3 linked regions of the Mytilus edulis genome follow. The protein of the gene in region 3 purifies or fractionates together with the protein of the main gene of each other region. This does not show direct contact. Links are inferred from orthologs where the notes say so. Each region holds a gene or a part of one and is shown on either strand. Other genes may lie near its edges.

Region 1 (8,355 bases), on a different chromosome or scaffold from region 3:
GTCTAATACGTTGTGTGAATTTGCGCGGTTTCGCAAAAGTTGAGAATTTGAAGCCCATGAGCGCAAGTTAAATCCTGCTCTAGTGAATAAGTCTCTTGCTGTATCAAAATATTTCAGTAATGCACTCTCTGTAGTAACGGCAAATTGGTGTAAACGAAATCTTAAAAGAATGCCGACTAAGTCATTTAAATTGGGTGGAGTAGTCATCAAACAATCATTAAGACTAGGCGATTCTGGTGTTGCTTTACAACTGCAGTCGTATACGACCCTAATTGGTGTTGTAGTTGAATCTTTTCTCACAGCATGATGCGGAATATAGTGTATTTTGCTAGTTTCATCGGTCTCATTAGTAGTATCCACTTTTTCTATGAAGCCCCTTTTCTCCTGCTCTGCCATTATTTCTCCATATTTTTCAAGTAGTTTGGGTTCTTTGCTAAGTCTTCTTATTACATTTTCCGTCCTTCGTTGTGCAATGGCTTTATTTGTCGGTAACGTAGGGTGATCCTCTTTCCATGGTAACGTTACAAAATATCTGTTGTCATGGTAACAAATTTGTTTCTCTTCATAAGTCTTTTGAATATCTATCTGTTCTTCTAACTTTGTGGTGTCAATTTTCTCGGTGGCCAGTGACTCTATTTTCCAAAATTTCTCCAAGTCGTACTCATCGGTTTTTGTTGCGATCATCACGTTCATCATTGAAGCTCTCTTGTATCCTTCTGTGTCAGAGTTGTGTGAATGTAGCGTTCCAGACAACAAGTATCCGATTTTTGATTGAACAGCTGTCGGTCCTTCGCCTCGGATAATATCATTCTGAACAATTGACCAAAAGTAATCAGCTCCAATTAGAATAGAAATTTCAAAGTTTTCATCTGCTGTTACTGGGTGAGCTAATTTGATTCCTGACAAATATGTAAGTTTTGCTGCTTGGCGTACATAGGTTCTCATCGGTGCTGCGATCTCTGGAACGATCAAGACTCGAATCGGCAGTTTACCATCTGTAGTTATGAGATATACCAATCCTGTTCTCAAATGGCGAATTTTAGTACTATTTGCATTGTCTCCAAATCCGGATAGGTTAACGATTTCAGTTCCAGTAGGCTTGAGTTTCAATTTCTCGGCTAATTCCTCTGTGATAAATGACCGCTGTGCGCCTTCATCAAACAATATTTTTGCATCAAGTATTTCATGTTCTGCACTTACTGGGTTAATTGCTGTCTTCAAAAGTACACGATCTGGCGATTGTGAGTGTAAAACAATGTCTGGTTCCTCCGCGTTGTGTTGAATTGTGCCTACGCTTACATCCCCTGTTGGTGTGTTGTCTTCATTTGTTTTAACATTGTCTTTGCAAATGCTGGTGTGATGACGTTTGTGACACTTGTTGCAAGTTTTTGTAGATTTACATGCGGATAAGCTATGGTGTCCTAGACAGTTAAAGCATAAGCGGTCTTTTTTCACGATTGACATTCGGCTATTGTAATCAGATACTTTAGTGCAATTAACAGGCGAGTGTGGCTCCTTACAGTACGCACAGTGTGGCTTGGGTTTAGTGTTACTTGCGTTTGTATTCTTGTTACCTCTATTTCGATTACTAGAATTTGTATTTGTCAGAAAGGCGGCGGTAGCTGTAGGGGATTCTAACTGTTCTGAAGTTTTGCCTGCATCCATAATATAAAGTTCATCGAAAATTCCACGGCGTAATTCATTCAGTTGTAAATCTGTAGATCTATATTGTCTGGCAAGATTTCTGCGGATTTCACCGGGTAGTTTGTTCATAATAATGGGCACTAAAAACGCTCCGTATGTGTCTTCACTTTGACCTAATGACTCCAAACCTCTAATGTGTATCTCAATTTCATCGTAGTAGTTTTTCATGCTAGATATCGTGTATTTAGGGGCTGGTATATCAACTAGTGCTTGCATATACTTCTGTCTTATTACATGCGATTGTCCATATCTTTCTTGCAGTAAAGAAATAGCTTTCTCATAATTTGCATGTGTAAGCGCAAACCCTGTGACGGTTTTCAATGCCTCATCATGGAGTAGTGACTTCAAATAATTAAATTTCTGAACGTTTCCAAGAGTAGTGTTTTCGTGAACGGATGTCTCGTATGAATCCCAAAATGACTGCCACTGCATAATATTACCATCAAAGGTAGGAAGATTCAATTTGGGCAACTTGTTGTACTCATTTACTCTAGTGTTACTACGTGAAAACTGAGTTTCCGGTTCACGGAAGTTTGAATTACATGTATTCTGTTTAGTGTATCTCTCGGGTTGAGCATAACTTTGTTGATCATGAGCGGGTTGAGCATAACTTGACTGATCATGAGCGGGCTGAGCAGGGGCGGAATGAGAAGGGCCGCTATAACTGACGAAATCTTTTGCATTTGTATTGAGTGCGGATGTATTGACAAGAATGAGCTTTTGTATTTGCGTTATTTTTCCATCTAATGTGTAAGCATACTCATCTGAATCGACGATCTCGGCTTCTACTTCTCCTTCATCAAGATTTTCTAGAATGTCCTCATTTAATTTTTGTAGTGTCTCTTGTTTCTTCAACAGATTGTTCACAATTTTAGTTAACTCTTCAGTGTTCACGGGCTCATCTCCGTCGTCTCGGATGTCCTCAAATTTCTTCAAAAGTCGGGAAATAACACTTCTGTGTCCTGCACGTATCGAACGTAGTTTGGAACTCATCTTGGTCCTTCGGCACCAATATCTTAAAATGTTTTTATAAGACTTGTTAGGCACAATAAGAAATACTAGCTGTTTCTACTTGTAATGATTCTAAACTCATCTTGCACATAAATCTCAACGTCATAAGTAGCGTGACGTTACAATACATAGCGGTACCGCAAACGTCTAATGAACACAGTCCTGAACAGGTAGGTAGGTAGGGATTTTTTTTAATTTTATGGTGTTTTTTTTACATTGAGTCTATGGGAGCAACATTCTGACTTTAACAGTACTAGTGCTTAATGAAAAATGACAATAAAATCTTTTGGGTAGTCTATTTTCAAGCCGAAAAAGTAGGGACGGTAGGGTTACTGGAATCACATACATATTTTTATTTGGCCTATTAGTATCATGGACCTGATAAACTTACAGAAGAGACGTATTTCGACAACAATTCTTAAATGAGCTTACATTTCACCATCCGCAACTTTATTGTATTTTTTCGTTCCAAATATTCCAAATATTGAAGAAGTTTGAAGAAAGAGATTTTTTTCTGTCCGGGGAATATAAGTAAGGGAAGAGAAACCAATCTGTTCTGTTCTATTCTGTACAGGTATATTCCACGTTATATATATCGGAACACTCCTACTTGGGATTAAATATTTTATTGGCACTGGCTACGGTTACATGGAAATGTAACAATAATAAAAATATTATTGTTACATTGGAGACTAATTGCCGGAATGCAAAGTTGGGTGAGGAACCGATTAATTACAAATGTAACAATAATTACTGAGGCTACGGTTACATTACGTTATTGTTACATGAAATACAGCAATGTACGCTAGATTGATAAAACTTAAATCTTCTATAGTTGAACTGCTTCATTCTTTCATATGTACTAAACAATACTTGTAATTTAATACTGATAAATAATAAAATATTATTATTCAACAAATGGTGTACAACTTGAATAGTTTAACTACGTATTAATGGTTTTGATGTTCTTAAAGATACTACTCAAGATTAGGAATGTGACTGTCAAAGGCGAAAAATATAGTCAATGGTTTCACTTTCTTAAAGTATTTAACTGCACACCTACTCTTATTACTGTCATTATACTTTGGACCAATTTTGTTTATGGTGAAAAAAATAAAACTTGGGATGCGTTTTAAACGAAACTGAAACAATATCAAGACATACATTTCATACAGCTTTATAACTTGACGCAAATTGATAATCAAAAGCAAAGTTTGCTAATTGTAACTTTTAAAATACTAAGAAATTCTGTATGTACACTTATCCGTGGAGGACGTAATTTCGTTCATCAAAAATGTGTCGGACTTTAAAACAACTTACTGGATTTGTAGAAATTGTCATTGTAAATAAAAAATTACAGTAAATAAATTGTATGTTATAAATGTATGTAATAAATGTCCTCAACTTTTATTATTTAGTACATATTACTAGTCCCATCGTACATTGCTTTTTTTCATGTAACAATAACGCAATGTAACCGTAGCCTCAATAATTATTGTTACATTCGTAATTAAACAGGTCCTTACCCAACCATGCATTCCGGCATTTAGTCTCCAATGTAACAATACTATTTTTATTATTGTTACATTTCCATGTAACCGTAGCCAGTGCCTATTTTATTTACACAGATATTTACACAGTGTGGTGGGGTGCTTAAGTTTAAAAACTTTATATACAGGTAAGACTGTGAATTTCAAAAATAAGTGTATATTTAGTGCTATTTACATCATTTATAATTCTACCTAAGTTAAAAATTTTGATTTAAAAAACGTTTTGATTCCTTTTAATGAGACAATGGGGTGATTCTACCATATGTTTAATAAGTTAAAGGATTAAAATATGAAAGAAAAAGAAAAAAAACCAAGGATAAAAGGTAAAAATAAGTTGATTAAAAAAAAAAAAAAAATTGAGATTAAATTGTTTCAGTAAGGTATCAGCTTAAGACGAGATTATCAAAAATCGGAAATATATCATTAACTTTTTTTTTAATCATATATCGTAAAATTTGAATACATATAGAATAACCATACATTGTCTCGAAATATCAATGTTATTTGTACAAGGCTTAGAAACAGGTAGTAAACGAGGCGGTGCTGTGATCTCAGGCCTGTCAAGGTCTTTAAGCATATAATTAGACGTAAGCAGCTAATCTAGTCGTAGATAGAGGCAGTTGGCTTGGCATTCCATGCAGACTGCTTGGTCCATCTTTCCTGAGATTAGTATGGCTATATATATCTTTATTCTCATAAACCAAAGTACAATGATACAGAAACATATACAAATACATTAACATAGTATAAATTTTAAATATAAATGTAAAGTAGAGACATAAAGTGGTTACCCAGGAGATTCTAGGCATTTGATAATAATTCTTATAAACGTGCAGATTGTTTAGTTCAGACGGGTTGCTACTATTCATTAGACCTTGAAATTTTAAAATATTTGGTCTGTTTATAAAATGATGCTTTAGTAGCAGTTGTCTACTATCGTCTATTGCCGATCATGCTAAAATATAATGGAACTCGTCGCCAATGTCACTGGAATTGCACAACTTGAAGTACAAATACGATTTTCACTCTGAATGTTTTGCCATCTAGTGTCTTTCTATGTTGTGATATTAAAATATTGTTTCAGGCTAAGAACAGTAATTCTAACATTTCCCTGTTTCAGGTAAGGATGAAGGTTGATATAGTTATGTTCTTATGATACAGAAAAACAACGTTGTAAAAAAGGGAGAGGGCTGGGACTATTATACTAGTATACTATTATAATAGTCTCAGGAGAGGGCAAAAAGAAAAATAAAGATTGTCCTGTCCACAAGTACCTATGGTCAAAACACCTAGTATTGTTTCTCACTTGATTTTTTCGATTATTCTATTTCATGTTTATGAGATTAGTTTTCTGCAGCGTGTGTGTCTCCCTTTTTGAAAACACACGAACTGTTTGCGTTGAGCCAGTCTTCGGTAGTATTCCAGTCTATTGATGTTTGGAAGATGGCAGTTAGTGCTTGTGCTGTTTCTGTTGCACATTCTTTAAGAATTCTGTTAGGGATAACATCTGGTCCAGATTCTTTCGATGAGTTTACATCTTTGAGAAGTTTTTCGAGACTTTAGTGGTTATAAGTAGCTGTGCTATTTTGTTGTTTTAGGCATCGATGTTGAAATTTGTCATTTGTGATCTAAATGGTCGAATTAAAATTTCTCAGTCTTCCTCTGCTGTCACAGACCTTCTTCTGTTTGTTTTTATGCCCCACCTACGATAGTAGAAGGGCATTATGTTTTCTGGTCTGTGCGTCCGTTCGTCTGTCCGTCCGTCCGTTCGTTCGTTCGTTCGTTCGTTCGTTCGTTCGTCTGTCCCGCTTCAGGTTAAAGGTTTTGGTCAAGGTAGTTTTTGATGAAGCTGAAGTCAATCAACTTGAGACTTAGTACACATGTTGCTTATGACATCATCTTTTTAATTTTAATGCCACATTAGATAATTTGCCAAATTTCACGGTCCATTGAACATGGAAAATGATAGTGCGAGTGGGGCATCCGTGTACTTTGGACACATTCTTGTTTAAAGGTGATACTCCAATTTTATCTTTTTTTCGTGGATTTGATGTACTTACAGAATGGCTTTGTATTGTTTCTTTTGTAGGCATTTGATGATAGTATCATTGATGGATGAGTATTCTGCTTTCCTGACTTCCCGTTGCACTTCTTTTTGGAACTGTCTGTAGTTTGTCAACTGTTTATAAAACTGAGAATGGAAAGGGGGAATGTGTCAAAGAGACAACAAGCTGACAAAAGGGCAGAAAACAGCCGAAGGCCCCAAATGGGTCTTCAATCCAGTGAGAAAACCCCGCAACCGGAGGCATGCTTCAGCTGCCATATTAAAATAAAAATGTATACCAGTTCAGTGATAACAGACGTTATACTAAACTATGAGATTTATCAAAGAAATGAAATAAAAAATCATACAATCAAACAAAGACCAGAGGCTCCTGACGTTGGACAGTCAGGTGCAAAGATGCAGCATGGTTAAACATGTTCGCAAACATGCGGCGGGTAAGTTCATTTAGGTTGTTGGTATAGCCTTTTTTTTTAACAGTTTCCTTAATTTTTGGTTTATCTAGGGTAAGATGTTCTTAGAGCGGATTTCTTAAGATATCATGGGATGTGTTTGTCCATTCTTTAAAAAGAGTTCTCACTTGAGGGTGTCACTCATTCCTTATGCGTTTATTCGAAGATCCTGCATCTGTCGGATTTTTGTTGATATTAGTGAAATCTCCTCTTTAATGTTGTTGCAGTTTGTCTTAAGAGTAAATATAGCATTTTCTGGGTTTGCTACGCTGGTAGTAAGGTCTGGTGTCACAGTCTGTAACTATCATTTCATGGTTTGATATGCCAGTTGTGTTTTTGATTTGCTACGCTGTTAGGAAGGTCTGGTGTCACAGTCTGTAACTGTGTGTGTTTTTAACAAGTGATGGGTCTTCCCGTTAAATTAACTCAAGCAGAAAACTTACAACTGAAAATTGGTAAATAATTGAAAGACACTAGACCATTCAAAGGCATGACTTCAAAATAGTTGTCAAACTGATAGGCACATGTTGAAAAAAAAACCTTCAAACAGGAGATGCGCAAGCTAGAATTAGACCACCAACCCAGCCAAAAAAACCTTCAACACAAGAGATGATCAAGCTACAATTTGACCACTGACCGAGCAAAACAATTTTCAACACAAGAGATGATCGATGAGCATAACTATCGTTAGACAACCAAACCAACCAAACAAACAACATTTAACAAAAGAAGATCAAGCTTCCATTAGACCACCAACCAAGCCAAACAAACAACCTTCAAAACAAGAGATGATCAAGCTTTTATTAATAGACCACCAACCAGAAACAAGAGTGCACACACTGAAATGTCTCGCCTTCTTTACTAATCATTGATATTATGTTGATAGTCCTAAGTATAAAACTTGATTACAACTGTCACATAAACTTAACATTAACCAAGATAGCTAAACAAAGACCAATGAACCATGAAAATGAGGTCAAGGTCAGATGAACCATGCCAGGCAGACATGTACAGCTAACAAAGCTTCCATACAACAAATATAGTTGACCTATTACTTATACTTTAAGAAAAATAGACCAAAACACAAAAACGTTACACTGTGCAATGAACCTTGCAATTGAGGTCATGGTCAAATAAAACCTGTGGGACTGACATATAGATCATAATATATTTCCATACACTAAATATAGTTGACCTTTGGCATATAATATTAGATAAAAAGACCAAAACTTAAAAACTTAACTTTGACCACTGAACCATGAAAATGAGGTCAAGGTCAGATGACATCTGCCCGCTAGACATGTACACCTTACAACCATTCCATACAACAAATATAGTAGACCTATTGCATAAAGTATGAGAAAAACAGACCAAAACACAAAAACTTAACTATAACCATTGAACCATGAAAATGAGGTCAAGGTCAGATGACACTTGCCAGTTGGACATGTACACCTTCCAGTCCTTCCATACACCAAATATACTAGCCCTATTACTTATAGTATCTGAGATATAGACTTGACCACCAAAACTTAACCTTGTTCACTGATCCATGAAATGAGGTCGAGGTCAAGTG
Region 2 (8,749 bases), on a different chromosome or scaffold from region 3:
AAGGGAAATTTAAATCGGGAGTAATTTTACCTTATCATCTGCCATGTTCAGAGGATGGGGATCGATTTATTTCACGTTTTCTGGATGCTGAAAATGGCGCTTTCGAAAGCCTCTTGGCTCGCTCTGAAAAGTGTTGCAGAAATAACTGTATATTCTACAAATAATGAAAAAAATGTAGTTCGAGCTCTGTTGAAATAAGACAACCACTATTATATCGTCTGAATTTTGTCCCTTCCTTTGTCGTCGTTTTGAAAAGTCATCCCCATCTTTTTTCTAAGTACAAGATTTATCTCCCTTGAAACACGCATAAATAACGAATCGGACGCGGTAATGGGGTGAAATATCCGCAATTACGCTAAAGAAAAAAAGCTGTTAAAGAGAGGGCCAAGGGGTTTAATTAATTGTAATGACAAAATGCCAATATGCTAAATATGCTGTTTTGTGGAAATCTAATTCTTCGTTTATATCTGTTATTCTGGAAATATGTTTTTTAAACATGTTAAAGTAAAGTAATCTTTATTTAAAGTCTGGTTGCCTATACACAAAAACAATGAACATGATCTCTTAGAGCTCTTTAAACCGTCTGAAACCTGTTGTTACCTGTTATTGGAATATTAGTTTTTTTGTTATCTGTTCTTGTATTTGCTGTTAACTGTTATTGGAAATTGTAATAGTAGCACTTTGACAGCTAATCTTAGGTAGAAATTGAAGAGCATCATGAACATTGGGGTCCGAAGTTTTCACTATAAATATGGTGGTCATAAATTGGCTAATTTGGTAGGATTTCACGAACATATGTGATCATAGGTCATATGTCTTTTTTTTTTAAATTTTGTATTAGCTCAGGAACATATATATTCAATTGACATACTGTTCCCAGATCAGCTGCTTTATATATCTGCTGTTCTAAGTATTTTATCTGTCACCCTATGTTTAAGAATTCGATTCGATCTCCGATCCGATCCGATCCGATCCGATTCGATGCGATGCGATTCAATTCAATTCAATTCAATTCAATTCAATTCAATTCAATTCAATTCAATTCAATTCAATTCAATTCAAATTTCTATTCAATTCAATTCAACAATTCAATTCAAAAATTCAATATTCAACAATTCAATTCAACAATTCAATTCAATTATATTCAATTCTATTCAATTATATTCAATTTTCAATTCAATTCAATTCAGTTCATTTTATTCAACACGTTATTTTGAAATTGCCTCTTTGTTTAAAGTATGATAAATACTTTGGAAATTGGTCCCCATTCAAATTCAGAAGACATTTTGATAAACGGCTTAAACTGAATGGAACATGCACTGAAAAGGTAAATATTCAAAAGCTAGATAAGAATATAGACGAAACAAAAACGGGTCCAACTCGAGTCGGGATAAAGGGACTGAGAGGGGGGGAGGGTTCAAACCATGTGTCCCCATTCAAAAGCATTGATCGTAAAAAAAAGTTGTTCCAACCCACTTTACCTTACCCTCTGGATCCGCCACTGCTACACATGTTGTTCTTGTGGAGAGTTGTCTTATTGACAATCATACCATGTCCTCTTATTTTTATATAATAGCTCTTTGTTTTTCTTGTATATATGTATATATGTTCGTCCTGAATATGCATGAAGTATTTGCCACTGGACGTTAAGCAACCAACAATCAATCAATCAATATAAACAAGTGCCATCTGCCACTTTTCTCGATTTTTTTAACCCCACTCGGTTCAACGAGTCTACATAAGTTTTAGTCACGTCAGTAAATGTTAAAATATTAGCAGATTTATCTTGACATGTTTCAATGTATAAAATGTTTAGGCCATATTCAGTACATTTTTTAAAAACATCTATTTCTATTATATAGTGTAGACTATTATAGAGAGGGGATATGACCTTTATCGGGACTCCTGGATCGGGCGTTTTAAGCTCGTGATTTCGGGACTGACCCTTTCGGGATCTGGCAATTCTTTTTTGGAATTTCGGGATGTCGGGATTTAAATTTATTTAAACTTTCGGGACCTCTGGATTTCGTGTTTTTAATCCCGGGATTTCGGGATCCCCTCCTACCCCCCGCCCCCTTTCCACATCCCCATTTAAACTTTCGAGGTCGGATTGTCAGACCGTCATACAGAGTCAGCGGTTCCGTCTCATAGTTCAGACTTAATGTATATATAAAGTCCCTGCAGAGAACAGCACCCAAAGCTGAGCTGAACAATAACATTATTTTTTTTATACAATGATAATGATGATTGCAATGATTGTTTGAAACAATTGCAGATGAAAAAAAAAGTTTAAAAAAAAGACACAATATGATTTCGACGTGGTTTTCACATGATTACAGAGTGTCCTCTTCTCATGATAGCTGCTGCTAATATGAAACAAAAGTTCCAAACTGAAGAAATTTTCGATTATGTTATAATTTCCACTGGGAGAAATGATACAGAATGTGTTCCTTACAAAATAAATGGTAAAGAATATTTGTTACAATAGGAACTGATTTCACGGCATCATTTGCTAATAACCAAAATTTTCAGTGAAACTTCTGTTAGGCAAACAAATATATGTTGACTGGCTATATATATACAGCCCTCGGCCGCATGCGCATGCATGCATCAGCGGCACGGTCGGATATGTTTGTGTTACTTGTTTTTGGCTTTGTCTCGATCCGACGAATTAGGTCTTTTTTTAACTGTTTTTATAGTTTGATCATATTTTGTACTGTTACACCAATGTTCCAGATTTAACACTGCCACAGGTACCTATTAAATGTAATGAATCTGAAATTAAGTGGTTGTCGTTTTTAATATTTTGTATTTCGTTTTTTTCACTGTACGAAAATCACGGCGTTAGTTTTCTCGTTTGAATTAATTTTTTGTAAAACATTTGTCATTTCGAGACCTTTCATAATTGACTATGCGGTATGGGTTTTACTCATTGTTGAAGGCCATATAATCTTCGAATTCGCTATAGCCAAGGGTTACAATATTACAGTATTGGCTGTGGTAAATCATGTAAATCAAGGACAATCTGTCCAAATTACAAACAGTCATGCCATAAATGTGGCAAACAAATTCATTTCAGTTATGTACGTCGAGTAAGGGAAATAAAAGTGTGTCACAAGTGAATACACAATAGGGATTCGATCCTTCTTTAGTCTATAGAGTTGGCACAAGGATGATAAAAATCAAAATAATGAAAATTACAAACAACCTACAAATAAGGAAGTATGTACAATTATTTCTTTGTAGGTTCAGACAAATATAGATAAAAATTAATAGACCGGTGGTTTTCCCGTTTGAATGGTTTCACACTAGTATTTGTTTTTTGGGCCCTTTATAGCTTGCTGTTCGGTATGAGTGAAGACCGTACCTTTATTGGCATAATGGTTTACTTTTATAAATTGTGACTTGGATTGAGAGTTGTCTCATTGGCACTCACACCACATCTTCTTATCACTAAATACACAGCTTACGTCATGTGCAACACTAAAACTAAGCTGTGATAGATACAGATGCAAATATTTCTGTCATATATAGAAATCTCTTGAATCAAAATTCATATGATAAAGTGCCATTGTAACCTAAGAAAATGAAGCCAATAGAAATTTTGTGTCAGTTCGGGGCAAACTACAAATTACCAGGCAATAAGGGGCAGCTACCATTTGATTTAAAAAGGGAGGGGCTATGATGAAATTTTTAAAAGACAAGACATGAGTTTTGAGTACGAAAAGCAGGATGAGAAATTGGCAAAAAAAAAGGCAGGATGTCAATTTAATTTAAAAAATTCATGATAAACTTATAAAAGAGGCAGGACCGAATAGAGTGAAAATAAATGTAGGACAGAGATTACAGACTCATTACAAATACAAAAAAATGCATTTCGATATTTTAATCTATATAGGTGTTGATTTCATGAGTAAAAACGGAGCTTTCGTTAATTTTCAAGATTACACTTAAGGGTACGGGTTGAAAGACAATCCAAATGTTGTTGTCAGTTCTATTACTTTAAACTCATGGGTTTTCAGTTTTTCGAATCAAAAAGGTGGTTACGCTTCCTTGCATCTTTGCGGAGAGGGGGAATGGATCATAGTGGGGCCTTACGGTGACAGTTATAGTTGTTAATTTCTTTTTTCATTTTGAGATTTTGTCACTTTAATATGGAAAATCAAACCACATTGTCTTATTTTTTTTATTGAAACAGGGGTTAAAGCTACGAGATATATAATAAAAAAAAATGATTTGTTTTGGTTCGATCATTACCGGTAATGAAAGTTAAATAATGAAATAATAATTCGCTGTTAGCAGCCAGTACGGTTCAATTTTGTCAAAATTTAGCTAAGAAACATTGATGATGTTTTGTTCACTTGCTAACCCCTTAGATATAGATATAAATAGATTAAGCAATTAACTCATTCAATTGGATTTTTATAGGTGCATTAAATTTTGTGTTATAGATTAAAAATGTATTTTTATCGTGTTTTTTTTTTCCTTTACAAGAAATTCTTTTTGTGGATCGAATCAGTCAATCAAATTATTTACCTTTGTTTCACTTTCAATGTTGACATTTTTTCCTTTTAAAAACAACCGTACAGAGGTCGAATTATTCAATTGCAAGTGAATAATTCATTATCAATGTTTATTAGCCTTTTAGCTTAATTTGACAAAAATTTAACCATTTAAGCTGTTAAAAGCAAATTATTATTTCACTATTTCACTGTCATTATAAATGATTGAACAAAAAAAATCATACTTTAGATTTTTTAAATATCTTGTAGCTAGTGTCCCTTTAAATGTGTACATATCATATAGATATATTGAACTTTGAACTTTATTGAGAATTGTTAGCGGTTATACGTCAATGAAATTGATATAGTTTCCAGTATGCGTCACAAGTTGAAAACAGAATTCAGAAATATTAATTTTCAAAAATCCGCGGGAAATTACTTTTTTTAACCTGTCCGATCCCTTACTTTTTCTCGCGAGACTTGTGTCAACATCGCGTGATGTAATATGGATGACGATCGGCTGAATTTTGACACTTTTGACAGTTTAGAGTGATTGTTTTGGATTATTGATAAATTACAAACGCTAGAATGGGAGGAAAAGAATCAAAATTATCTTATATTCCTTACGAGGAAGCTGTCAGACGATGTAAGAAAACAGTTTGATTGAAACACACCTTATAAATATTGCAAATTTATGTTGACATTTTTTCGTCTGTAAAATTAATACATCCTGTTGATCAAGAAACACATGTAGTTGCAATCTTTTACTTGTCTACATATTCAGACTCAACATACAACATTAAAAATGACATGAGTTTGAAAATATTTTGCACGTAAACATGATTTTACGTTATGTGCTTGATAACTGACACTAAACTGAATCATTAAATTACAGGGAGGAAAATTCCTTCAGTCATTCAGTGAATTAATACACGTTATCGCTTTTTGTCAGCCATTACTGGATATCACACAGGTTCCCGTATAATTTCGACTTCTTAAACTGTTAAAACAAAATATCTGGCCCCACAATAGACGTACAGTACGCAGGGGTGTGGACATATTTGTTGTGAGCACTTGTCCCAATGGGACAGAAACCTAACAGCAAACCAACCAATGAAATGACATGTAAAGGACAATTTTACAGCAGTTTTTGAATAAAAATTGTAGCCAGTAGGTACATATACTAAATTTGAGGACAGTGATCGAAGAAATGTACACTAAATAATAGATAAACTATTGATTTTGTGGTGTTTCTCTCAACTGACACACCTGTTTTATTCTCGATTATTTATTATTGCCTTGATAGGCAATTAAAGCGTCCCTTCTATTTTCCACTTTGACAACACATAAAGTTGACCTTTCATCTATAAATCATTTGTAAATAAGACAAAAACTTAATTTATTTTCCGAATTTTCATAGATAGCCAGGGGCAATCTGATATCCACGATGTCTGAAATTCTCGCTTCTGTTTTTTTTTTTAAATACTCTGTGTCCTCCATTTGCATTTAAGGTTTTCTACTCGACTTATGACTATTTTTGTCTTGCTTGCCCACCTTTTTATAAATCTGTATCTCGATAAAAAATTTAAAGAAATGACACTTCCGGTAAATGATGGATAAAACCTAATCGACGATCCTGTGTCAACGGATAAAGCCAATGCAATAATATGCGACTCGGGTTCGCACACTTATTTTTATTTATTTTGGTAATCGATCTATTTCCGGTATCATGTTATATTTAAATTATCATGAACATTATGTTTTTACTTGCTGAACATTGGTTTCTTTTACATAAATTAAACATCTTTATACGTTTTGAAATTAATTTTATGTTTTTGTTGGATTTGAACTTTGTTTTGTATATTTTATTACTTGTCCAAGGGCAACCAAGACAAAAATAATTACTTGTCCGGTTGTTCAAATGTACGAGTCGGGCGAGTCGGGCATAGCATTTCCACACCCCTGGTACGGGTAGAGACTTATTTCTATGGATGTCTTAATCCGTCTAGTTGTCAGACTAGTCGGACAGTTGTCCCAGTGTAATAAACACCTGCTGTGCAATATCCAAGTGGAAGGTCGTAAATCAATCTGTACCAGCTTGATTAGAATTAAATTTTACCTGTACAGATATATTAGTATTTATGGAGGATAGATAAATGTGAAATATTGTTTTGTATTCAAAGAGAAAAAATTAAAATTAAAATTAAAATTAAATATCGTGAACATGGGATTTTTTTTTATTACTTGAAAATGAAATAAAGACGATTTTTAACAATGTATTGTGTTGCCAATTATTGTAATAGTTTTGTGCCAGAAACATTTTTTGTATTTGTATTTGTAAACCGTAAATATTTCATCTAATTCAAAATTATAACAACCAGGACTGTTTTCAATCGAAGTTTTAAATCAAATAGTTGAGACATCAATCCTGTAACTTATATGAGTTTTCGTTGATGGTTATAGTATTTCCCCCTTTTAACGTCCTATTCCTTTATATATGTTATTATTAGAAACACAATTTTAAGTATAAGGCCAACATATCGTATTTATAAAATATGTATACATGTAGGCATTGTGAATAAACTGTTCTTTCCCTTTTGATACAACTTTCCCCGTCGGAGCCTCTACGTCTATTCACACCTGTCAATCATTTGTCGCAAGTAAAACATTTTGGTCAGACAGATCACTCATGCTTTTATTTTGACATATTTCTCGTTAATCTCTTTGAAACTAGTGTTTTTTTTTAATACAATATTTATAACGCCGTGATTATATTTCGATTCCTATTTTTTATTTAAAAAAAAATTGTTGACACTCGTTGTATTATAACAAAGATATTGCCTTTCTATTTTCATGTTTGAAATTTTTATGAAAATCGCCGGAGTTTTTTATTATAAATATATTTTACGAATTGTGTCAATCGATACACGAAAATCAAAGTTTTACACTGGTCATGATCAGCTGTCTTTACTTTTTGGTCGTACTTCTAGTCATTCTGCAGCTCATGCAGTCAGTAAGATTTTTTAAATCGATGTATTATTTCCGAATGAGGAGGTCTCCAAATAAATCATTTAAATGGGAATCCGGAAAATGACTGATAAATATAATACATAAAATAGTAAAAGAAGACTAAATCATGTTTTGATTATACATGTATATAAATCGATTAAATTTCTATTCTGGTAAATCAATTGCAAATGGATCTCGATTAAGAGCCTCAAAACTATAAAAGCACAATACTGTCAATCATTCCACATCAAATTAAATCATGAATGGATTTTCCTACAGTGGTTCAGTAAGGTCACCTGTGTTTACTGTTAAGATATTTCCCGCCATATAAAAATCTCGTGCAGTGGACAAAATCGATCTTTAAATATCTTTTATTAGCATTCAATATTGTGAGTGAAGTCAAGTTAAAGTTCAACCACGTGCACACGCTGTTGATCACTAATATGTGTATCACGAAATTGTCTTTTCACGGCAAATATTTTTTTTTAGATTGCTGTCAAAAATATAAAATACAAGTTTCCAAGTTAACATGGATTGTGCCTAAATTAATATTATGCAATTAAGTTCGGGATTTCGGGATCTTTTTTCTAATTTCGGAATGTTGGGATTTTTTTAATTTAAATTCAGGATTTCGAGATCCGGACCCCTCCTACCCCCCGATACAGCTCGGGCAAATATTTTCTTCAATATCTTCTTCTAGTGTTATTATTTGCGTTCTATTTTGGGGGTTTCTTTCTATTTTAGTGATACATCTCCAACTTTCGGAAATATTTGTAAATTCACAACTATAAAGAATCGTCAAGCTACTAGTATACAAGTATTGCTCACTGTAATTATTTTTTATCTCGGAAACGTATGCAGCAGCACTTGAGACAGCATTCTGTCAATCAATGGATTTACGTGGAAAATAAATCAGTAAAACAAAAATAACTTTCCAGATATAGAATAAAATTATGTTTAAAAATTTTATGCAAACAAATAAGAAAAAGATATATACAAAAAAAACCCCAAAAAACCCCAATAACATAAAATAAAAATAATTTTGAGGAACAAAGAAAATAAATAGCAGTTGAAATATAAAAACCATAATTAAAAAAGTTAGGTTATTTTTGTTAAAACAAAATTTTCTGCAGTACTTCATCTGTAAAAATATTTTATGTCAAATACGATGTAGAACTAATATAATCAATAAAGTGACTGAGAGGTTAAAACTACAGGTAACCTGATTCTGAAATCAG
Region 3 (8,367 bases):
TCAGTAAACCCTTTTTTTTAATAGGGCTCTTCACGGTTAGTTTGGCCATATTGGATAGGGGCAGATTTTTTGAAAGAGGTGGAAATAGTATGAAAGTATGGGAAATTCTATGCAGGTTTCCAAGCAACTGCTCTGTTTTAATGATGTTTTCACATATTTTTCACACATTTTTACCAGAACCATGAAAATCTGCCCCCCTATCAAATATGGCTGAACTGTGAAGAACCCTATTTGAACATGTTACAATTTTGGAAGAAAACCAATTATCAGTTGATTAAAAAAGGATAGCTTATCTCAATTTTCTTATTAATTAAAGTTGTTTAGTTTGTGGTTTGATAAGATTTTGTAATCATGTTTTTACCTTAAACATTATATGTTTACAATCATTTTAGCAACCCTGTTTTATTCATAGTTTTATGTTTTTTTTAATTTAACTATGTCATGTTAATAATTGAAAGTGGTGAATAAATATAGCTTTTGCAAAGAGCTGGCTAAAAAGAAATTGACTGAGGAAACCTTCTAAAATGTAAACATCAAAATACCTTTTGGTCTTGGCTGTTTAGGTGCTGTATAAGTTAAAGATTCATTACCACCTTGGGAACTCTGCTTATCTATACCAAATAAATTTGCTAACCTTGATCTGAAAAAAAAATTAGTAATTACATATTCAAGTTTTATATTGCAAACTGTGAAATATTGATGATTGGTCTTGTTGTACATATATATAGCACAAATTGGATTCAATATGTTCATTCCTGCGTCAAGCAGATTTTTTTCATTTTCAGTTTTTAGCTTAGCACACATCATTGAGCTATGTTGGGTCATAGCATATACTGTCTACTGATCAGATATGAGTTTACTGAGTTAAGAATCTGATGTGTAATCAGGGCTCATGTTACAAGGCGACTGGAGGCAAGCCTAAGGACTTAGAAGTCTCATTCAGATAGCAATACACAGTAAGAAAAAAACTTAACATATATATACATGTACATTGATATTTTTTGCCACAAGTTACAGCTGAAATTCGGCTTTTTCCCCTAGAGAAAATTCCCAATTACTAAAAATAAATGGCTTAAAACTCCTCCCAAAAAAGTTTTACATTTTCCCCAAACAGTGTTGGCATTGGTAGGAATGTTTGTAAATATCATATTCATATTATTATTTTGATCATGTTGATATTAGAATACACTTTTGAGATCCGGTTTTCTGATCAGAATCATCATGGTGTAAACTTGTAACACCTGGGGGTTTAAATTCATTAAGTACCATCTTTGCTTCTGTTTCTTTCCCCTCTCCGAAAAACTACCTTTCAGGTTGAAAATGTCAGACAACCAAAATATACATGAAAAAACAGTACAAAAAAGACAGCAAAGGTCAGCAAAAAAATCGGAGATATGTGTTTAGAATAAAATATACAAATTTCCCAATTTCATTAAAAAATATGCATTTCCATATTTTTTTCCAATAAAAAAACGGTAGAGGTAGTTTTGAAAAAAGACAACAATTTCACTGATGTAATTAACACTCATGATTTGAAACAATCCTCTTTCAAATCTTTCCATTGCTTTCTAACAAAGTATGCTTACTGTTTGTCATGTTTGTGTTATGTAAAAAATGTATGTGCACATGTATGGAAAAAGCATCTTCCATAGATTTTATTTTGAAGGGTTAAAATGGAGAAATATAATCTCTTTGATAAAAAAATAATGCAAAAAATGCAAAAAGGAGGTGAAAATTTGGTCCAATGTAGAATTCATCCATTTGAATTTTTTTTGTTGGAAAGCTTTGCAATAATTTCTGGATGGGGTTGGTTTGACCCCCCCCTTTTTTTTTTAGGATCAATGCTTTTGATTGCGGACATATGATGATGATTGGAACTCCCCTTTTAAAAAGGGATGGATTTGACTCTGCTTTCATTTTTGAACAAGAATGTGTCCACAGTACACGGATGCCCCACTCGCACTATCATTTTCTATGTTTAGTGGACCTTGAAATTGGAATAAATTCTCTAATTTGGCATTAAAATTAGAATGATCTTATCAAAGGGAACATGTATACTACGTTTCAAATTGATTGGACTTCTACTTTATCAAAAACTACCTTGACCAAAAACTTTAACCTGAAATTTGCACTATCATTTTATATGTTCAGTGAACCGTAAAATTGGGGTCAAAACTATAATTTGGCATTTAAATTAGAAAGATCATATCATAGGGCACATGTATACTAAGTTTCAAGTTGATTGGACTTCAACTTCATCAAAAACTACCTTGACCAAAAACTTTAACCTGAAGCGGGACAGACGGACGAACGAACGGACGAATGAACGGACGAACGAACAGACGGACGAACAGACCAGAAAACATAATGCCCCTCTACTATCGTAGGTGGGGCATAAAAATTCACAGGAGCCCTGTCAAAAGCGATATGTAGTTGAACAGGCGTTCACAACAGTGGATTTCATCTGCGTTTTTTCAGTTTTAACCAAGTTCATTTCCATTTTTGTAGAGAAATTCAAAGAAAAAACAATTTATTTCTTAAGAAAAGAGGTGAAAGCATTTACCATGTTTACTTTACAGATAGGTTGTATGCTATTTCAACGAAACAACTTTATCATGATTCATGTTTATATGACATATATTTTCTTTAACCATGTTAACTTACGGTAATTGTTACTCAAGATCCTACATCAGTGTACATCAAAATATTGCTTTTTAGTCAATAACTCGATCATTCAGAAAAAAATAATTTGATTTTTGTCGATTATACCTCAACCGTAACATTCATGCCATTGGAGACTGATTACAATAAAGGACTGCCATCAAATAGGCCAATCTCTCACGAAATATTGCAAATGTAGAAGAAATTACAGAACCCTTCAATCAACAGTACATTGTGTACATGTACAACAACAAGAAAGTAATGAAATGAGAAGACAGTTGGAGACATGACTAACCCTGACAAATGTGCAAGACATTTCAGCCATGAAACCAGTTTAATTTGGCCTTGATAATTTCAGTCCTTATATACATGTATATATATAATTAATATTTTTTTCATAACGGTTCTATATCTGTTGATTACAATAATAATATCAAATGTAATTTTTCTGTGTATGTGATATAGACTTTTATAATAAATATAAGTATGATGATGAATACTGGAAATATATCAGCCTGCATTTTGGGGCCTGTTATATCTGGCTTTGCAGTATGAGTTTTGCTAGTCCACACAATTATGACATCTTGTTTGGCTATTTTAATTTTTAATATCAAACTTGATAAAATTTTACAGACCAGAATTTCCTGATAATATAAAAAGAATGTTTGTAAATTTTAGTCAATCAAATTTTAACAAGTTTGATTTTTGGTAAAATCCAGAAGTGACATATTTTTGATAATTCTGGGAAACCATTTTGAAATACAAGAAAAATATTTGCCCACTTCAAATGGAATCGTATCTTGTCATTTCTTTTGGATATTTCTGGAAATATTTCGCATCAATAAACACAAAAAAGTCTTTTTAAGTAACTATGCAAAAATTACTAAGCAGCAATGAAGATTTCATGCCAAAATTGGGTCTCAGAGTTCCCCCAAAAATTCTCTCTTAAAGTCCAGACGGAAAAAAAGGCTTTGGTGTTAAGACGTTGTAGGAAGACGTCACAGAAAAAAGGAGATTTCTCACAAAAAAGGAAGACATCACAATTTAAAAAAAAGAAGCTTTTCAAGACGTCATAATTATTTGGACATGGATTTTGCTCATTGTTGAGGGCCGTACTGTGACCTACATTTGTTAACTCCTGTGTCATGTGGTCTCTTGTGGAGAAATGCCTCAGTTGCTTTTACTTTTATAACATGGCCGAATTGACCAAGATTATATCAACCAAGGCCGAACAGGCTCCTTTGCCGAAACGTCTTTTTTTCCCTGACTGATAGTCATAGAAATTATTTGACATGTTCTTCTTTTTTTCTTTGCATGCATATGCCCATATATTTTCTACATTCAACTAACTTAGACCCTCCGGACACAAAATCTTGATCGTCATCTTCAGCACTGAAAAACATGATGCATTACTAAACAATTATTTAGAAACATAAAAATATTTTTTTTGGAACTGCCCTCCCGGAAGTCATATGAGACCGAGTAGAGTCAGGTGATTAATTGTTTTCGTATTTGATTTTCGAAAGAACAACCGATATAAAAAGATGTATTTTTTGAATTGAGAATAAACCGATATTATTAAAATTTTTTTTAACTCATATATTTAATTATTTGATAAAAACTACACTTAAAGTTCGAAACAGGTTGAGGTTAGTTGTTTATGTCACCTGTTGCACTCTTGGAACGTATGTTGCATAATTGACATGTAGTGTTTTGGATGTTGGTAAAACTATAGTGTAGTTCCGAATCAGGAAATAAATAGTTCAAATTCTCAATGAAGAGTTGGTGTTTCCTCATAAGCAAATTTTAACCTTTCTGATTTTTAGCAACCCTCAGAACTTTGCTTATTCTTTCTTGGATCCCGGTTGAGAGTAAAACTTTGTATAGTAAACAACTGCAGGTACGTTTTGAAAGACTTAATTTGTATTATTTTTGGAATCAAGATCTATGTTTAAGCTAAAAACTTTTGTTTTAAAGATAGCCTGTCCAGTTATTGTACTGTCAGTGTTGATTTATTCAGGATTAGACTTTCATGTAAGCCATAATTTTAACCTGCACACATGTACATGTATACAATATTTAAACAGGGGATACATTAGCTGTGGAATGGTTCCACAGCTAGGTCTGCAAATAGTAATAAAATAACATAAGAACCTTAGAGCTATGGTTCCGCAGCTAGGGAAACAATGTACATATGAACTATGCCCTCCAGAATTTTATTTAGATTGAATTGGTGCAAGGTTAGGACTGATTAGATTATGATGAAACCATATCAAGAACAAAAATGTTATCTTTAGTTTGACACTTATTGCTGGAATGTTCGGTTGGGTTAGGGACCAAATGAATGTAACAGTATTATTTGTGTCTCTGATTTTGTTGTGGTATTGTTACTTTGATGCATTCAATATACAGTACAAATAACGCAAACAGGTTCCCAAACTCCCTACACCACGATTATTCTTGGTGTGACACCAGGTAACTCTGATATCCCTCCCTAAATTCTCCAGTGAAATTAGAGAGTATTCCCTCAGACTTCCTCTTAAATCCACTACCTTTTGTTTATTACAATGTACAAATGTACATGTTTATTAGCGACAAATCTCCCAGCACAGTGTCACACCAGGTAATTAATTGCCCAAATCCTTCTGATCTATGCCAGCACACAACAGTCAAGGTACAAAATGTATATGAAATTTCTTATGTAATTTAAAAATTGTATTTCCTGTCTATTTATAAACAGGTTATATATCTAATGCAAATGGCTTGAAACCAATAAATATTTTAAAAAGGCAAATTGTTGTTAATTCTTTCAATTACATTGTACATTTAAATTTTTAAATTTTATATAAAAAAAAGAATACTTGATTTTGACCTCATTTATTTTTTTCACCAGTAAATTTATTTAATTTTTTTTTTTTTTACAAAAGAGATATATACATGTATGTATACTTGTGTAAAAATAAATGGAAACTACTGCTGAATAAACATGATAAATGTGAGCAGTTTAAAGAAAATTACATGTCACAAAGTTTTGTACACAAATGAAAAAGGAAATATAATTCACCATTCGTTCTACAGGCAGTACAGCATTTTCTTTTTACGATTATCTAATTGCTCGAAAAAAATTAAAGATTTTAAAGCCAAATGTTGTTGTTAATTCTTTCAATTGCATTACTAACAGTTAAAGTTTTATAAAAAAAACTTTACCTAATTTTGACCTCGTTTTTTTCATCGGTAAATTATTCTATTTACAAAAAGGGACATACTTGTGTAAAATTAAATGGAAATCTCCGCTGAATATAAAATGTGAGCAGTTTAAGGAAAATTATGTGTCTCAAAATTTGTATATAATACGTACATGTATATATATATATGCAAGTTAAAAAGAAAATACTATTCAACATACGTTTTGCTTAATAAGTCTACAGCATTTAATGATTCTTTTAACGATTTATTGGCATTACTTTACGATAAATTATACATTTCGACTACAACAGGTAAACTTCCATAGCTGCATCAACTAGTCGTTGCATAATTTCAATGAAGTTAGCTGCATCAACTAGTCGTTGCATAATTTCAATGAAGTTAGCTACATCAACTAGTCGTTGCATAATTTCAATGAAGTTTATGACTTCTGACAAGAATTATACGGCTTCACTAAACATCCAACATCCTCATGCTAGTGACATAATCAGAAAAAAAATGTATTATATGCACAAAATATGTTTATTTTGTATAAAGCATGTTGTCAAGCCATGATATGTTGTTCTCTTCTCCAACAATAGAAATAGTTTTTTTTCTCACCTCCTCACCCAGTTTTCTTTTAGCTTGCATTAATTGGCTTTCAATAATTAAAGATTAGGATATTACATCAGCCAGGTCTGGTAACAAGCATTATACTGTTCAAAAGGTTCTTTCATATCACTCAATTTCAAATATCTATTTGATGAGTATTTTAATTTTTATGATGAATTCATTAAGGGTTACTCCCCTTAAATTTGTGTATTGTGAAATTCAACTGCTGGAAATTATGTTTATTCCTCAAAATATTTGTAACTTTAAATTATTTTACGTTGACAAAATATTGAAATGGAGTTCAATGCTATTTGGTAAAAATAAAATTGTGGATATGGATCTTCAATATTTTTAGTGATTTCAAACCAGGATTTTTAAAACATTACACATAGTACTTTTAAGATATACCCTAATGTAGTTTCTATTAATTTATTACTGGCCATGCAAAACCCTCATGGGTAGTCAAGGTGTTATAAACCACCCTCATCATTTACCATGTTTACTATATATTATACATGTATAATGCAAACATATTATGAACACATGATTTTTCTAATTCACTTATCTAGCATAAAAAAAGGCTTTCAGTCTGCCAATATAATATACATGTATAAAAAATGTATGTGCACACATGTAAAGTTAATAAGAATGATTTGATTGTCAATGAGGCAACTTTACCATATATATATAGAGACAAAATTACATAGAGTTTACAACTATAGGTCACCTTTCAGTCTTCAGTAATGAGCAAAACCCATACTTCATGGTCAGCAATATAAAAAGCCCCATAATGACATGTAAAACAATTCAAACAAGAAAACTAATAGCCTGATTTATATAATGAAAAGCTTGACTCATCAGATTGGTACTAAGTGCAAAAAACAAACAACAGCCTGATTGACTTTTGGTTTCCTGTTAAGCAATAAAGTTAAATGACAATTTTAATTGCATAAATTAGTTTGCACAATTAATCACTATTTAGGGTCCACTTGACAGCTTGGGTGTCTATTCCTGTATTGTACCTACTGTTTAATAATTTCTAATTTATAATATCAGCCAAAAGTATTATAAATGAAATATTAATGCTTGTTTTTTTAAATTTAATATTTCTACTTGGTCATGTTGGGTTGAAAAGTCTTATTGGTAAATTTTATTACTTTAGGTAACACCAATTTGATCCCTTGTTCGACAGACCCGCCCGCACCTATTTTTTTCAAAACAGAATTTTTATATTTTTTTTATATTCCCGCTTCCCGCATCCGGAATTGTAATCATGTCCATTTCCCGCACCGTTTTTTTGTGTAAATATTATAAAAAGATATCAACATTTGTTAAATTTATCACAGTCTAACCTGTACATGTATATAACGATTTTAAACATAAAAGCACCCCACCACACTGTGTAAATATCTGTGAGAATATTTGTTTCAGCATGAAACCTGGGAGTGCTCCGATAAAAAGTTATAACAGCGGGTATTTCCGTGAAGAACAAAAAATTGGTTTCTTTCCCCCTTACTTATATTCCCTATCAAAAAATGGTCGTTGTTAGAATAAAGTACAAAGAACTTCTGAAGGATTTGCCTTCAACTGCAATTATATTGTATGCTGGCGAAACAAAACTATCTATAGCCGCTGAATGTTTATGCACCTGTCCTGATTGATTCAGGAGCATGTCGTTCAGCAGTTATCGTTTGTTGATGTTGTTCATTGGTATTTTCCCGTTTGGATATATAAATTAGATCGTTGGTTTTCCTGTTCGAATTGTGTACGCTAATAATTTTGGGGTCCTTTATAGCTTCCTGTTTGGTCTATCAAAGCCCTGTGTAAAAGGCCGTACTCGACCTGTGTTTGTTATTATCAGGTTGAGAACAACCCTCCCTCAGACAAGGGGTCATTTTACTGATGTAGAAA

The links.
Region 1: the proteins of high affinity copper uptake protein 1-like (region 3) and galactosylgalactosylxylosylprotein 3-beta-glucuronosyltransferase 3-like purify together in Homo sapiens (co-immunoprecipitation; 3 studies listed by BioGRID and IntAct, with this or other methods). This does not show direct contact. The link is inferred for Mytilus edulis from reciprocal best matches to the Homo sapiens genes SLC31A1 and B3GAT3.
Region 2: the proteins of high affinity copper uptake protein 1-like (region 3) and ubiquitin carboxyl-terminal hydrolase 32-like purify together in Homo sapiens (co-immunoprecipitation; 3 studies listed by BioGRID and IntAct, with this or other methods). This does not show direct contact. The link is inferred for Mytilus edulis from reciprocal best matches to the Homo sapiens genes SLC31A1 and USP32.

The regions. Positions count from the first base shown.
Region 1 is NC_092346.1:96,234,493-96,242,847, forward strand, and holds the start of galactosylgalactosylxylosylprotein 3-beta-glucuronosyltransferase 3-like, read right to left. Parts: upstream 3,304-8,355; 5' UTR 3,148-3,303; exon of another isoform or gene 3,107-3,147; intron 1-3,106. UniProt on the Homo sapiens protein: Glycosaminoglycans biosynthesis. Involved in forming the linkage tetrasaccharide present in heparan sulfate and chondroitin sulfate.
Region 2 is NC_092349.1:11,630,341-11,639,089, reverse strand, and holds the start of ubiquitin carboxyl-terminal hydrolase 32-like, read left to right. Parts: upstream 1-4,972; 5' UTR 4,973-5,090; coding exon 5,091-5,148; intron 5,149-8,749. Other genes in the region: ran-specific GTPase-activating protein-like, read right to left, coding at 31-45. UniProt on the Homo sapiens protein: Deubiquitinase that can remove conjugated ubiquitin from target proteins, such as RAB7A and LAMTOR1.
Region 3 is NC_092345.1:7,926,973-7,935,339, reverse strand, and holds the start of high affinity copper uptake protein 1-like, read left to right. Parts: upstream 1-4,597; 5' UTR 4,598-4,608; coding exon 4,609-4,695; intron 4,696-8,367. Other genes in the region: FK506-binding protein 15-like, read right to left, coding at 543-640, 4,012-4,064.